Lonchura striata: one gene and its partner. The protein of the gene in region 1 interacts with the protein of each later gene in a pairwise test. Links are inferred from orthologs where the notes say so. Each region holds a gene or a part of one and is shown in the gene's direction. Other genes may lie near its edges. The genes, in order: WT1 and WTAP.

What was found.
Region 2: the proteins of WT1 (region 1) and WTAP interact in binary tests that used the Homo sapiens proteins (3 or more experiments, as listed by UniProt). The link is inferred for Lonchura striata from reciprocal best matches to the Homo sapiens genes WT1 and WTAP.

Annotation. Positions count from the first base shown.
Region 1 is NC_134608.1:60,255,663-60,263,316, forward strand, and holds the start of WT1 (Wilms tumor protein), read left to right. Parts: upstream 1-4,512; coding exon 4,513-4,903; intron 4,904-7,654. UniProt on the Homo sapiens protein: Transcription factor that plays an important role in cellular development and cell survival. Recognizes and binds to the DNA sequence 5'-GCG(T/G)GGGCG-3'. Regulates the expression of numerous target genes, including EPO.
Region 2 is NC_134605.1:57,861,295-57,869,512, reverse strand, and holds the start of WTAP (pre-mRNA-splicing regulator WTAP), read left to right. Parts: upstream 1-5,195; 5' UTR 5,196-5,337; intron 5,338-8,218. UniProt on the Homo sapiens protein: Associated component of the WMM complex, a complex that mediates N6-methyladenosine (m6A) methylation of RNAs, a modification that plays a role in the efficiency of mRNA splicing and RNA processing.

The DNA of each region.
Region 1 (7,654 bases):
TGAACGCGGGGTCAGGGCCGCCGTCCCGGCGGGCCCGGGCCCATCAATTTCCCGTGCTCGGTGCCTGCGTCCCGGCGCGGCACTAATGCGGAACAAATTGAGACATATCCTCTCCGTAATTAGTTCCAGCGTTTCCAAGATTTACGGTACAATAATGGCCCGAGCCCCGCCGGCCGGGCCCGGCCCGCCGCTCGCCGCCGCTGCACGGCGGGGTCGGTGCTGGGGAGGCTGTCCCGGCGGAGCGGGGCAAGAGCCGGGGCCACGGCAGATGTCCGGGACCCCGCGGGGCTGCTCGCTATCCCCGCACCCGCCCGCAGTGCCCCGCTCACGTCTGCTTCGGGGAGGGGTCGCGCATCTTTGCTTCTCCGTGCACCAAAAACAACTTTTCTACCCACAGGGGATAAACCAAACGTCCTCTAGGCAGCACGAAAGCGTTCCCGGGCCCACGTCAGCCCGCACACGGAAGGCTGGTCCCGCCTTGCCGGCGGCTCCCGGCTCCCGTGGTGCTCGCAGCTCTCGGCAGCGAGAAATGAGAGATTGGGCCCGCCGCGATGAATTCCTGCCCCTGTGCCCTCTGCGCTCCTGGAGACGCTTCTCAGCTTTGTTTCTGCTGCTCTTAGCGCTTAAATAATCAAACTCTGATCAGCTCCCTGAGTGAAAGGAGACAGATCCCCTGCGTGCTGTGAGCGGCGTGAGCAGGAGGGGAAGGGCTGGAGATTTATCTCTGGTTCAGTCAGTCTCGCCCACCTCCGAAACGTGGGGGGATCGTTTTAGGAGTTTCGTAAGAATTACCGGTCCATTCCTTAATTGGTTAGCATGGCAGAGGTAAAATTTCGGCTGGGGAGGTGCGGCAGCGGTGCTCAGGTTGAAGCAGCTTCCCGAGCCTGTTGTTCTCGTGTTCGAGTGGGACTCGCTAGAATAATCCTCCTCCAGCTATTGTTTAACCTGGCAGAGTATGCCTTCGAGCACAATCGAAGACTGAGCGTTATCAGGAATTGCCCTAGCTATGGAACAGCGGGCAATGAAGCCTGTCAGAGTTTTGGATCGGGCCGTATTCGGAGGGGACAGGGCAAAATGTTCCGCACCGCCTGGGTCTGGAAACCGACAAAGGAGATGCTGTCCCTGAACATCTCCCTGTCTCCTCGGCCATCGCGTTCAACTGGGCACCCAAACCCACACGCGGGCGCCCGGTGTGCGAGACCTGGAACGATTTATGCCGGAATTTGTCTGGAAGCGGGGTCGGGATCTCTGGGGAAGAGGTGGGCAAAAGTCTCCTGCAAAGAAGGAGCAGCTCCTCTCAGCATTCCTCAGGGGGAGCTGCTGCCAGCGTTCCCGGCCTGTGTTGGAGGTTTCTCTCTTTCCCTGGCGCTGGCTAGACGGAAACAACTAGGCAAAGTGGCACTGGCCGTCTCCCAAAAATCCTCAGCCCATCCCGAGACGGAAGGGTCCGGGCTTTCCTGCCCCAGGACGCCCCCGGACGCGTTCGAGGTGGGCGCGCTCCGTGTCCCGCACGGCTGAGGCGGCCCGGGAGAGCGCAGGTGCAGCACAGGGCTGAGCTGAGCTGAGCTGAGCTGAGCTGAGCTGAGCTGAGCTGAGCTGAGCTGTGCTGTGCTGTGCTGAGCTCAGCTGAGCTGAGCTGTGCTGGCAGCTCCTGACTCTCCCCAGCCTCTCCAGCAACTGCGGGGAGGAAGGATGCGCTAATGGCCAAGGGGTCGTCTTGTTTCACTGCTGGAGGGTGCGAGGGAGAAGGTTTGGACAGACTTCGGCAGTTCTTCCAGGTAGAGTAATGCAGAGTTAAGCGATCAAGTAAACCTTTCTTTCCCTTTTAAGATGATTTATCAAGCTAGGTTATTTCAAGAAAAGACAAAACCCCCGTGCTAGCTCGAAAAACAGCCCACTACGGGAAACGTATTTTCTGCTAGCTCCTAGAGAGCGCTAGTTTTCATGCGAAATCAAATACCCCGCTTAGGCTGGCCAAAGAATTCCATTCCTATATGTACGATGTCCATCGCAGAACTGGAGATCATAAAATCGTTTAGGTTGTGAAAGACCTTTAAGGTACCCAGTTCAACCAACCTCGTGTATCGGTCCGTCACAGAAACGAGCAAAGCCAGCAGCAGCCCCTGTGCCGATCCCGCAGCTCCCCGCGGGTCCCGGGCAGGGGTGACCGCGGTGTGCGGGAGCCCCGGTGCGGCCAGAGCGGGAGGCAGAGCGGGAGGCAGCGCCGGAGCCCGCGGGCAGCAAGGTCAGCGCGATTTCCCCGCACGGGCTGCATTCACAAGTGCCGTCCAGTGTGCTTTAGTTTGCCGTGGGCTCTGAGGTGGCGCGTCCTGTAAACTTAGAGGATATTTAATATCAGCGAAAATAATGAACTAATCTTTCGCACTTACGCTATACGTGGATTTTTGTAATAAATAGATGTATGTGCCAAAAGAGAAATTTTTAAAGGGAATTACCTGAAATAGTTTGCGAAAAAAAAACAATTTCACTAATAACAAAAACCGAACGTTATGGCTAATAAGTTTTAAGAGAAAATGAAATTATACTTGGCTGCTCCAATAAGGACCTATTTTAATTTCTATTGTTGTAGCCTTGACCCTTTGAATCTTAAAACACCTCTTCAACGTTGACGATGCTTGCGGTAACCTTTGATGCCGCGAGGGAAAGGAAATCCCGAGGTGCGCGCTGTCACCGGGCGGACAAGGGGCTCGGCGTGTCCTGCGGCAGGTGAGCCTTCGCGGCGCCTCTGTCGCTGCTGTCGCCGCAAAGGAGGGTGAGGCTGAGGGCTGAGGCCGCGGGGGTGTCGCCGGGCGGCGACCCCGCTTGGCGGTGCCACGGCTCTAACAGCGGCCGGTGACAAGGGACAGGGCGGCGGGGCCGGTGCGACCCCGCGTGCTCCGCGAGTACCCTGAGCCGGCAGCTGCCCCACGGCTGCCCGTGAAAGCGGCACCCCCCACCCCCGGGTGGTTATCCATCCGTAGTTATGCGGGAGGGCGGCAGGATTCCCCTCCCCGCCTTTGGAGAGAGCGCGTCCTGCCCGCGGCAGGTACCGCGGGGCTCTGCCGCCCGCCCCGGCGCTTCCTGCCTGGGCAGTCGCTCTAGGTGGGCTCCCGCACCGCCAGAATCACGGCACCCCTCGGGGCCGGGGCCGACACGAGTCCTGCCGTGTTTCTCGGCAGGAAGGACAGCCCGGGGATAACGAGTCGGGTGCCTTTGGGGGTCCTCCGGCCGCCGCCCCCGGGATGGACGCTGAGGAGCCGCTGTCCAGGAGGCTGGAGAGCAAAGAGGGACTCCGGGCCTTCCCGGGAGCAGTGCCAGGTGAATCTCTCAACAGCAGGTTACTCACAGCGCTGCTGTCCTCCCCCGCCCGCCCAGCTGCTTCCTTCCCCTCGCACACAGGCAGGTCCGAGGCACCGGGCTAGGGCCGGGCTCACGCCGGCCCCGGGGCCGGTGCAAAGGGCTCCCAGCCCTCTCCTGGCCGGCGGAGCCCTCGGTACCCCGGCCCGGCCAGCCCTGGCGACGTGCCGCGGCCCTGCGCCCCCAGGGACAGGGAGGGGTGCGGGGGGGCCGGGCAGGCAGCTCGCACCCCGCAGGAGCTCATGGAAACGCAGGATCCTCCCGTAGCGGGAAAGGCACCTGGAAAGACACTTTCTCCTCTCAGAAATGGGGTCCGCCCGGGCCGGGTCGTGTCACTTCCCCTGGTTCCTGCAAGGGCGGAGGCTTCTCCGCGCGGTCCCCTGGGCCTGCGACCTCGCCGCCCTCGGGAATCCCCACGGACATGCACGGAGCTGGCGGGGGAAGTCAGCCAGCACGTACTTACTGGCCACCTGGATCCCTCTAACAAGTCCCGCAAGTCTCTCCTAAAGCGGAGGAACGTTAGGGTGAGATTTAGTGGCGCTTGCACCAGCAGAAGGGTGGGAGTGATGTGTAGGGGAGATATATTCTCCCACAGTCACCTCTCCCCCTCCATCCCCGGCTCTCCCGTGTCTCCCCTCCCCCCGCGCGTCTGGTCCGGCTGGGTTCAGCAGAGCGGGCTGTGGGCAGCCCCTCGGCGGAGGTTGTGTGAATGGAGGATCGGCGTGGCTGACTCCTCCTCCCCTGCAAGCGCCTCTATTTGAGCTTTGCAAAGTTGAGGGTTGAGCAGGCATCCGAGGTGAGGCGTGCGCGGCGGCTGTGCCCCCCTAGCTCGGACAGGCGGACATCCGTACAGACAGACACACGCGCGGACACACAGGCACGCACACCGCACCCTGCCCTGCGCTGCGAGCGGGTGCAAACCCGGAGGCGATCCTGGAGAACAACCTTGCCCTGTCGCTGCTGCCGGCTCCCGCAGGGCTGGACCCGGGGAGCTGCGTCGCGGAGCAAACTTCCCCCAAAGGGCTGAGCTCGCCGGCCTGGTGCCTGCAGCCGGAGCCGGCCTCCGGCTTGGCGGGCAGGGGCCAGGTGTCTTGGAACAAGTGCGGCCCGGGGGGAGACTGGCTGCCCGGCGGCAGGCAAAAGGTCTGCGAGCAGATGGGCTCCGACGTCCGAGACCTCAACGCGCTGCTGCCCTCCGTGCCCTCCCTGCCGGGCAACAGCAACTGCACCATGCCGGTGAGCAGCGCGGCGCAGTGGGCGCCCGTCCTGGACTTTCCCCCGGGGGCCTCCTACGGCTCGCTGGGGCCGCACTCCTTCATCAAGCAGGAGCCGAGCTGGAACGGATCGGACCCGCACGAGGAGCAGTACCTGAGCGCCTTCACCGTCCACTTCTCCGGCCAGTTCACGGGCACGGCCGGGGCTTGCCGCTACGGGCCCTTCGGCGCCCCGCCGCCCAGCCAGCCGCCCTCGGGCCAGGCTCGGATGTTCCCCAACGGGCCCTACCTGCCCAACTGCTTGGAGAGCCAGCAAGCCATCCGCAACCAGGGTAAGGGCCGCGCTGCCGGGCGCCCCGGGCTCGGGGGACGGCCCCCGGAGGCGCCCGCTCAGCCCGGCAGGGCCGCGCCTGATGTAAACACCGAGGCCGGTCCTTCTCCGCGGCGGCCGGGCCGGGTTAGGCGAGCCAGCCCTGCCGTGCCTCCCTTCCCTCCCTGTGCGGCAGCCGCGTCGCACCCGGGAGCTTTAGGAGCCACGAGTTGCTCGGCCCCCACCCCTCCTGTGGGGCAGCGGATGCAGCGGGCGGCTCTGCCAGGCGGGCTGGAGCCCCCCGGCCCCCTCCCCGGGTTGGAGCAGCCTCTCGCCTTCGCAAAGGTTTGTTCGGGCCGGAGACGACACAAGTCCTGGAATGGAGCTGGAGCCCGTGGCCCGAGACAATTCCCTCTGCATATCTCGGGGGTGATGGGGTGGTGGCGGGGGTGAACCTCCAAACTCCCTCCAGAATCCGAAAAGGGCTGTCCGCACGCTGGTGTTTTCAAGCCCCTTTTCGAACGAACCTCGGGAGGGCTGAGTATTCCCGGGTGGAATGCACAAGCAGGGGCGACTCGGCGTTTCTTGTCTGCATCTCCGCGGCCGGGACCGGCTGCGCCGCAACTCCCTGCGGTCCCCGGTGTTCGCACCGTCCTGAGAGGCTCCCGAGGGTTGAACGGCCGGGCAATGGGTCAGCCGCGTGTGGCGCCGGGTCAGCATCTAAATCCTTTTTCTTCCAGCTCCTGCAGTATAAACATTTGCGGGCGCGAACGGGAGGAAGAAAGGAAAAGGGCCCAGCGTGCGAAGAGATCGCATGAGACATTGCGGGTCTCATTCCCCCTCCTTCAGCTGGCCCCGGAGTGGTGGTGTGCCGGGGTTTGCCCCGCACTGCCCGGCCCCGGGCGAGGCACCGAGGGGAGTCGGGCAGCCGGGGCGCCGCGGCTCGGGGGACGGGGAATCGGCGGAGTGTGCGTGGCCCTGCCGGAGCGGGATGAGTGGCCGGGGTCTCTCTGCTTTTAGGATGGGGTTCCCCGCACCTAGCCCGCAGCTCGGGATTGCTGTGCCCCGCGGGGGCAAACCCACAGAGCGGCTGGGACAGACCGTCCCGGGAAGGGCCCGGGCGATTCGGGCTGCAGGGCGTCGGGCAGAGCAGAGGCCGAGGCCGGCGCCGGCAGACGCGCTCGGTGCTGGCCGCCGAGGTGTGGCCGAGGCCCGGGCGATGCTTGCAGCGAGGGGCAGGGGTTGTTCAGCGCGGACCTCCCCCGGGCAGTGCCGGGTCGTGGTCCCGCTGCTGCCTTCGACCCCCGGCCCCTGCCCCATGGGTTCGCCCGGCGCCGGGCTCCGATGTAGGAAAGAGCAGAGCGGGGCTTCTGGGTCGTGCTGCCGATCCCGGCTGGGAAAATGGGTGGCATCCCTGGAGCTGGGGAGAGGCTCGGCCCTGCCGAGGCCCCGGAGCCGCTGCGTGCCCTGCGGGGTCCCAGCTCCAGCTGCGGGACGGGAGGGGAGCGGCCCGAGCCCGTCAGGACAGGGACTCTGACGGGGACCTTTGAAAGACATGCGAAACGGTTTTAGACATCGGAGGAGATTCCAAATAGCTGGACGGAAATAAGGACAAGAAAGTGGAGAGAAGGACGAGGGAGATAAATTCGAATTAGCGAGGGACAAAATAGCTGCGACTTCGCGCCGTCCTGGCGTCCGGTTTTCCCCACCCCGGGGAGAAACGGAGCCTTTAACGCCCCAACACACGGAGCCCACGCCGGGCTCTCCTCGGGCCCGGCGCTCCGCGGGCCGTGCTCCGCCTGCGGCACCGCAGGCACCGCACAGACCCCGCACACAGCCGCACCTGTGCGGGCCGGGGCCGGCGCACCGAGCCCTCCGCACAGCCCCGGGCATCCCGGCCCGGCAGGAGCCCGGCGACGGCGCCGTGGCGGGAGCAGGGGCCGTGTCCCGGGCCGGGGGGTCCCTTCGGCTCGGGGCTGCCTCCCGCACGTGTAGCCCTGGGGCTCAGCTGTTTTCGGTGGCACGCAGACAGAGGGCTCCTATGGCAAGGGGATACTCGGCAAAGGCGTTTGCTTGCCTTTTTTTTTTTTTTTTTTTTTTTTCTATTTTGTGGATGGATAAAATGTTCTTGCTTTGGCTCTCCTCAAGGTTGAACTCTTTTTTTTTTTTTTTTTTTAGCGGTTCCTCCGACCGTGGGAAAGACGCTACCTTGGCTCTGTGATGACATTTCTGCCAAGTCTGGGATGGGATGGGGTGGGGGGTAGGAAACTAAGGCTTTGAAACCTCTGCCCAATTTTCCTCTTCTTGTTTGCCTGCCTCTTTCATCCAGCTGGGCTCCTCCAACAACTGGATGCCTCCAGCGGGCCCCGTTCTCCAGCAGATGTACAACTTTCAATTATTTTCAGCACATTTTAATCAGGCCTACTTCTGATAACGCCCTAATTAAAGAGACCTCACTATCGGCAGCTCGGTTCAGAACTCAACTTTCTTATCGCATTCCTGAAGCTTTGGGTCAGGCAACACCGGAAAATGCGGCCAAAACCTCGTCCTGCTCCGAGCTGAGTTTTGAAGGTCACCGAAACTCTGTGGCGGGCCAAAAGTAACGTAGAAAGTGTCAGTATTTTCTGAAAGCTAAAAAAGAGACAGACAGAGGGAAACGGGGAAAAGGGAGTAGAAGGTTGAGCCTCTACCCTGAGGGCTGAGGGAGGAGATACGGAGCGAGGAACAGCTGTGGGATGGGAACCCGTTAGGTACCGGCCTGTCAACGCTGCCC
Region 2 (8,218 bases), on another chromosome or scaffold:
ATACAGTGATTGTTTTAAAAAAATATTGTACAGTTCCTGAGCAACCCTGCATGACTGAATGTAGTCTTCTGCACATTTTCAAAATTCAGTAGAGAGTGAGTAAGAGACATATGAGGGTAGCACCAAGTAACCTTGTTTATCAACTGTACCATATACCAATATGCCATTCTTAATGCAACATTTGACTGATTACAACTTAAGGCCATTGTTGGAAATACAAAGTCAATAACATGAGATGAGCTCAGATTAAATGTCGGCAGGTGTTCAAAGTCCACAGCTGATACTACACCCGAAGTAAGCCTTATGAACAGGATTCTCTTGAATTTAAAAGTTTACAAATATTGGATTGAACATAAAGTGAGGCTTCAGCCCCTTCCCTCCCCACAGTTCACTAGCAGACAGAAAAAGTTAAAATATGAAGCAGCCTTAGGGCCTTCAGGCTCACCCCAGTGAGCTGACCTGCTGTACCTTTGCTCTCAGCCCCAACCAGCAGAACAGTTTTGCAGTTCAACATTAGTGACAAACCAGGCTGTGAGGTTGGAGCACCCAAAACCAACAGAGAATAATTTTATCTTGGTATGTCTATCAGGCTTGCAGTATTCTATTTAACTCTGCTTGGATGGTGTCCAGGGTTGAGATCCAAATGGACAAAAGGGGCATGTGACATAGCAAAATGACGCAGCAATCGCACAAAGGCAAATAATTATGAAATATGCATGATACAGATCAAAGTTAAGTCATTGAAATGCAGAAAAAAACATTCCTGAATGGTAGTAGGCAGCTGTGCTTTTTAAATTCAATGTAGTTAATGAGCAGCACAATACTCAATAACAAACTACTGCCCTATGCTGGTACATTTTGCCATTTCTCAGAAATCTAAACTCTGGGAAATGAAGTCATGAATTCAGAACAGAAATCTTACCTGCCATCTATTGCACAAAGTTTATTTACTACTTTGCTATGAACACAATCAAATGGACAAGTGCCTTCCATGAAATATTCAAGGTGCAAAGATTTTTGCATTTTCATTTTCTAATGGTGGCTCAGTTTTATTAGAAATAGATGAAAAGTTAAAGGATTTCATTGTTCACTGATTTACTCTCCTGCTAAATAACTTTTTTCTAAATCTGACTTTTTAAAAGATCAGTATTGTTACCATAAAGCAAAGCTGTTGATTTTTTTTTTCTTAAATCTGACACTTGGTCAATGAATATTTGCAAAAACAGGTTTGTTGGGTATGTGATTTTAATAAAAACGAAGCTGCACCTCTTAAAGGAAAAAGAACCAAACAAAATCCAATTACTTTAAATAAATAAATCTCAAGATGAGATAATTCTATTTTTTAATAGGTTTCACAACTTTCCTGTAACAGCAAATTCTTTAGTCTATAAAGTCTTATACACATATTGGTACTGCTGAATTCCCATCTGCTATGGGATGCCTTTCCCATCTTTCTGGATGCCTTTAGTACTTTAAGACCTTTCTTCATGTGTAGAAAGACAGTTCTTTTTCCAGATTTTCTTAGCAGTGGACTAACATTCAGCTGTTTATGAGTAGCTTCAGCACATAAGGCATGTTTTAAAAACTGACAGACACACTGTTTTCCCAGTGAGGTAAAGAGCTACATTTTCTTTCTAAAATTTCTCAATCCCCCACCTGACTGACAGGGTCCTTGGAAATCAAGACAATGAAATGTCCTTGTCTGTGTTAAGAACAATCTCTGTTTTCCTTGAATCCATTTTTCTAAGGGAATGTTTGTAATCTAATTGGTGATTAATTAAAAAATGTTGTTTTCCCCTCAGACAGGAAAACGTTTGCACTACTGAAACTCTCTTGGCCTTTCTATGGTTTAAAAAAAAATTATAGTAAACACCTGGGCTTATATCCTTAGCAACTATATGTACACCTGTACTCCAAAAGCAAGCTTGCAGTATTTATCAAGCATTCCCAAAAACGAATTTAACATGAGTCACCATTTGGTTTTAATTGTATCTGGATGGATTATCGTTCTGGGAATGTCTTCAGGACAGGCTCTGGACAGGACAGGACAGACTCACTATATATATATATATATATATATATATATATATATATATATAGTTGCTGTTAAATAAAATGTAATTATTGCAAGAGCTTTCTGAAGAAGTTAATTTACTTCTTGCTATGAAGATGTAAGAAAAATAGAGGAAAATTCCACTGAGACCCATAAAAGGATGTTAGCAGGGGATATAAAGACAGCATTAAGCCTGCAGCCTAGCATTCAGGGAGCTTCTCTAAAAGAGAGTCCTCTGATGTCAAATTTGGACTTTCTGCAGCCTAGATCTTTACCTAGTAGTTACCTGAAGGATCTCTCTGCAACACTTTCCTCTCAGTGCAATCCATAGATTTTATCTTTCTCCTACACCTGTAGGCTGCAGCAGCCTTTTCCAGTGCTCATTCTCTGCTGCAGATGTACCACAGGTTTGCCTTGCTCCATCTCCTGCCCTTGCAAGTCAAGGACAGCCTTTGCAAGAGCTGACTGGCCTTTCTTTAGTTCTTGATATTTCAAGGTCCTTTAAAATGCCAAGAGGATGTATGGTAGTCCAAACATTATTTCTTTTTTGCTTTTGAAAAAGGCTTTATGTCATTTCCCCCCTAATCCTCACTTTTCTCACCTGCAGACTGATTTTTTGAATGAATGTTTTACACTAGGAAGCGTTTTCCCTCACAGCCTGCCTTCCTCAGAGACAAATAGCATCCCTCAGAGCTGGGAAACATTGTAGTATTTGTGTTGGTCCACAGGGTTTCCTTGTGAAACCAAGGGGTGGAATAGAAACCCAGAACTGAGCCTGTAAAACCAAGGAGGAGCCATCCAGTTAATGGATAATTAAGTTAATGAGTAACACACCATCATTCAAGGAACCTAAAACCCAGTGAGCTGTGCTGCCCACTCATTCATAATCTGGTTCATGTTCCATTTTATCATTATAGGTGAATCAATATATGGATTTGGTTTTTGTGTTGATGCTTGGACAGATCATGATGTGCCTTCTCATCCAAAGAACAATGCTGCTGCTGGGGGTTATGATACCACCTATTACTTGAAAAGCTAATTTACTCCAGTTACCACACTGTAAACACAACCCAAGGCGGGTGTCGACATGTTTGATCCAGCAGCACTAAAAAGTCCCAGATTAGTTCTCACTGTGTAACGTGATGTGCAAACAGATCAAAAGAGTATTTCAGTTAAATGTCCTCTTCCCAAAGGTATCAGAGGAATGGTTGCCAAATTGTTAACATTATTTCCCTAAACAAAAATTATAGGTGTAATCTGATAATACACTTACCAGCTTGAAAGTATGGAAGGAAGGCAGCCCAGAATATTAAGCTCTGCAGGCTGCTTCCACTTATCTCTACATGTCTCTGGCTGCCTGCTTCTTGCTCAGCTAGCATGTTTCCCACAATTGTAATCTACACTTGTAAAGATAAATTTAAAATAACTAGGTGCTGACAAGGGGTAAAAAATGCAGGAATACTTTCTACATGCTCATGAACACAAACAATTGTGGAAGGTTTACCATCCCATACCTTAGAGGGTATGTGAGCTAGACCTTTATCTGTACCACTAAGAAGACACAAAGGAGGTTTGGTTTCTGAACATAATAAAAAGTGGCCAAACTCTAGACAAAGTACTGGGAGATCTTGAGTTAAATCACCACTGATACACAGAAAGTGTTAGGTATGTTATACACAGAATAGAAGCTGCCCTGCGTGTATGTCAGCATCTATTTTATGTAGAAAAAGTTTTGATTTCTTCTTCTGCTTGGTTTATATGCATTTTTAGTATTGTGATGTTTATGTTTGCACATGAGAAAATCAAGTCAATTTGCTACATTAATGTTCTTATTAAGGCCTACACTAACGTGCATCTCTCATGCTGCCATATCCCGGGATGGCTTCATCTGTTAATTGGTATCTTGAATGCTTAAAACAAGTATCTTGAAGAAAATCAGGAGCAGGTAACTGTACACTAATCACAGTGTGTCTCTTTTCACTTTCAAATGAGGTAAGATTCCAAAGGCATTTATTCAGGTTCTTTCTCCTTGTGGTCACCTTACCACCCTACCTCAGGTAGCTATGTCAAATCAGTTACAGTGTGGTTTTTAAACGTTTTAAGTTCTCAGTGAAAAATCTGTGTATTCATGTATATGCGTACATGTGTGTATGGGACCACGTGTACTGGGTTCTATTCTGTAGTGATTATATTGTTTTTGCTACCAGTAAGAATCAGGAGAGATTTCTGGATCACGTCTAGCACTGACATAGTGAGTGACAATCAATTTAATCTGTGCAAGTCAGGTGTCAGACTGATTTAGTCTGCAGCAGCTTTACGACTTTGCCAACAAAAAGGCAAAAGTATTTACCCAACAGCACAGCTTGTGAAAACAGAGAGAGTAAGAAGGATAAACTTTATTTTAAAGCACCAGCTCGGAGGTAGACCGCAACGAAGAACAAACTTCATTGGTTTTTATTCCGCAGCACTGACACTGATGTTTCACTTTGGAAGCAGCTGGAATTTAAATCTTGTATCTGTCATTAGTGGCTGAGGACACTGACTCGCACCGAGGCCGCCGAGCGGCGGGCAGGCAGCGCCGGCAGTCGCTCCGAGAAGCCTGGCACCCATCCTGCACTCTATGAACTGCTGCACGCAGTTTTCCCTCCCAGGGATCCCATCTTCTCCAGCAGCCTTCCGGGAAGGCGCCAAGCGCTCTTCCCAGGAGGCGCCGGGCCCGCTCCCTCAGCCGCTTTGGCGGGAGACGGGCGGCGCTGCCCCTCCCGCCGAGCAGCGGCTCCCCCCGCCGGCAGGAGGCCGCGCGGCGCCCCAGCGATACGAGCGCTGCGCCGCCCGTTCGCCCACGGGCTTTAAACCGGCGCTCGAGTAACCCGCGGGAGCCTCCGCTTCCCAGCTGGACGGGCGGCGGTGCCCTGCATCAGCCGCCCCACGGGCGGGCCGAGGCGCCGCGCCGCGGCCCTGCCCCGCTGCGGAGCGTCTCCTCGTCTCCGCCGCCGCCCCTCCACGCCAGGTGCGCGCGCAGCCTCCGAGCGCGGGGCGGGGCGGGCGCTCATTTCCTCCCTGGGCGCCATTTTGTAGCGCAGAGAACCCGCAAATAAAGAGCGGGCGGGAGCGGCGTGCGGGGGAGCTCGGGCGGGGGTGGGGGGGCACGGCCGTCCTGGCCGCGGTGCTGGTGGCGGCAGGCGTGGAGGTGGCGGCGTTTTTCCCCTGCTCGATGTGAGGCGGAGCGCGGCCCAGGCGAGCGGCGTGCGAGGGGCGCGGGGCCTCCGCGCCGCAGGCGGGAGGTGAGTGGCCGTGCGGGCGCTCCGCCCCAGCGGGACGGACTGACGGACCGGGCAGCCCGCAGTCCCGGGGTGCCGAACCCCAGAGGCGCCTCCGTGCCTCGCTTCGGGCACGGCGGGGGGAGGAGCGGAAGCACTTAGAGCCATTTTGTACGAGGCCCCAAAGCCCGGCCTGGCTGCGCGGCCGGGATCCTCCTGCCCTGCCTTGGGTGCGTTTGTCGCTTCCCCCGTGGGCGCGGAGCGAGGGCGGGGGGCGGCCGCAGCAGCTGGGTCTGTCGAACACCTGCGGCTGCGGCCCCGGGGGGCGGGACCCCCGCGGTGGCTGAGGCGAGTGTGAGGGCTGGCCATTTACGGGGATACTGTGAAGCTTCTCATTCTAAGCGCCAGAAGGCTCCTTAGTACAGGAAAGACAAGGGGGTACTGGAGGTGGTCCGAGGGAGGGTCACAAAGATGATTTGGGGTCTGGAATGTTTCTGTTGTAAGGAAACACTGCGTGAGCTGGGCCTGTTTACTCTAGGAGAGAGAGAAGACTGAGAGGGGCTGTCATCAGTACATACAAATATCCTAAAGGCAGGCGCTGTCTTAAAGTGAAGGGTGCCAGACTCTTCTCAATGGTACCCAGGGGCAGGACGAGGGTCAGTGGCCATAAACTAAAACATAAGAAGTTTCACCTCAACATGAGGAAGAACTTTGCATTGAGGGCGGCAGAATACTGGAACAGGCTACTGTGGTGGTGCATTCCCCCTTAACCTCCTTCCAGGCTGCAGTGTTGTGATCTGAGAAACTTTTGAGCAATCTCAGGCACACGCATTCGGGACAGCTGCCCAGGCAGGTCATGGAGTCTCCCTCTCTGACGACATTCAGAACCCACCTGGACACGTTCCTGTGTCACCTGCCTTGGTGGGGACGGGGATGTTGGACTGTAATCTCCAGAGGTGCCTTCCAGCTCTAACGATTCTGTAAATTACATGTTTGTATATATATGCACACACGTATGTACTTTGGGAGCTGGGAGCCCATACTGGGGTTTTCCCCACAGAACTCTTTCTCGGTATCATTAAAATAACTTTCAGTTTGCATATAACAAGTAAAACCTCATACCTGATTCAATTACTTTTGCTCATTGAAGTTTTCAAAAAAGTTTTTAAGTCCTGTGTTTTATAAACACTGTAGAGAAAGGTATGGAGGCCTGTATCAGAGTTACTAAAATTAAAATGTACTTTCCTCATTTTACATTTCTTTTAATTGAAACTGCCATAGAAGCCTAAAACATAGAGTTTTTCTAAAAATTCTTTTAGTGTCTGTGACAACGTTATTCTAAGTATGGAATGTGATTTTGTGTTGCTTGTTGCCAGGAGCAGATATGCAGGAGTGGTGTGTGGCTACTACTGTTTCTGCAAAATCATGAAAGTGCTTAGGATAGTACAGTTAAACTGTTCATGATATAAATCACAAAATACAATTGTGTTAATTCCAGTCAGTTGTGCAGGAATGTTTACATTGATTCTTGTAGAAAGTGATACTTCATCTTGTTCTTGCAAGATATTTCTGATATGGGTAGTAGAGAGATGATCTCTTCTAGAGGAGAGCCGAGTGATAAGAAGCATCTCTTGACGCACAGTGCTTGAGAAGTTACTGTAGTAGATTCAAAGAATGAACGTTTCCGTTGCGGTTGTTGCCTGTAGCACACGGGTTCACCTGTTGGTAACAGAAAACTGAGGCGAATCACCGTGACAGCTGCTGCTGTTTCTGAGGAACATGGAGTACAACGATAGCAGTATACTGCAGTAATAAATGTTTCAGCTTCTGCTAAGTTAGTCCAGGTTCCCAAAAAGCTGTTGCAGGTCAATAGCAAAGTGAAATTAATATTTGTGGAAAGAGCACTAAGTGTTTACCTGTAAATATTATCAACTTAACTTGTCCAGAATAATCTATAAAATAAAATACTTTTGGTGCATGTGTGGTTCTATCATAGCAAGTAATAATAGGTGGCAGTAAGGCAGTGACTTCTGTAATGCAGTGGCCCATAACTTCAGTTTTTTGTGCTCATCTGAAAGCAAGAGGTGGTTTTGTAAATGGTGATGTGCTGGGTGTAGAGGTTAGAGCAGCCTGGTCTGGTGCTGGAATTTTGTGTGAGGTCTGGAAAAGCAGCGTTTGACTACCTTTGGATGGAGCATTTACCTTTGATTTCTTGTAGTCGTGATTGTGGCAGCAATCATATGTTTATAATTGCTGCATGCTGCAGCAGGAGCTACAAGCCAGGTGTCTGGGGGGAATTCACATTTTTTGGTATTTGTATGCTTCTGGTACATGTTTGGGGAACACACATGTAATGACTCTGTGTGCACCATTTAATCAGTGTTAGCTGTAGTTGTGCGAGACATCTGAAAAGGATGTTTCTCTCTGTTAGGAACTTCACACTAGCTGGGATCTTCAATACTACCAACCTTCAGAGGAGTTAAAAACTCTAAAAATCTTTGGAAAAATTACAGTGGGGAAAGTAGGCAGCCTAAATACAGGGGTCACAAGCATTCCCTCTGTAATCTCAAGTTACTCTGATTGAATTGGCTACTGGCAATTTGTATCGGCAGCCTCTTATGCTTGTATTTTATATTTGAGGTATGTTTTTGGTAAAACAGTTTCAAATAAGGAGCTGCATGCAGAAATTCAAGCAAAATACTCCTTGTGAGGGGGAGTGAAGGGGGTGTGACTTAGTTCAGGGAAGCACTTAGCTGCCTGTGTGTTACTAAGCCTAACAGGAAGCTGCCATTCATTAGTGACATACTTCTACTGAATGTTTTCTTTCTGTGGGCTCTAATGTCAGTATTTATTATAGGAAGGGAGTGTGAGTGCTGGTTTGTCTGTTGCTAACCTGGACCTTGTT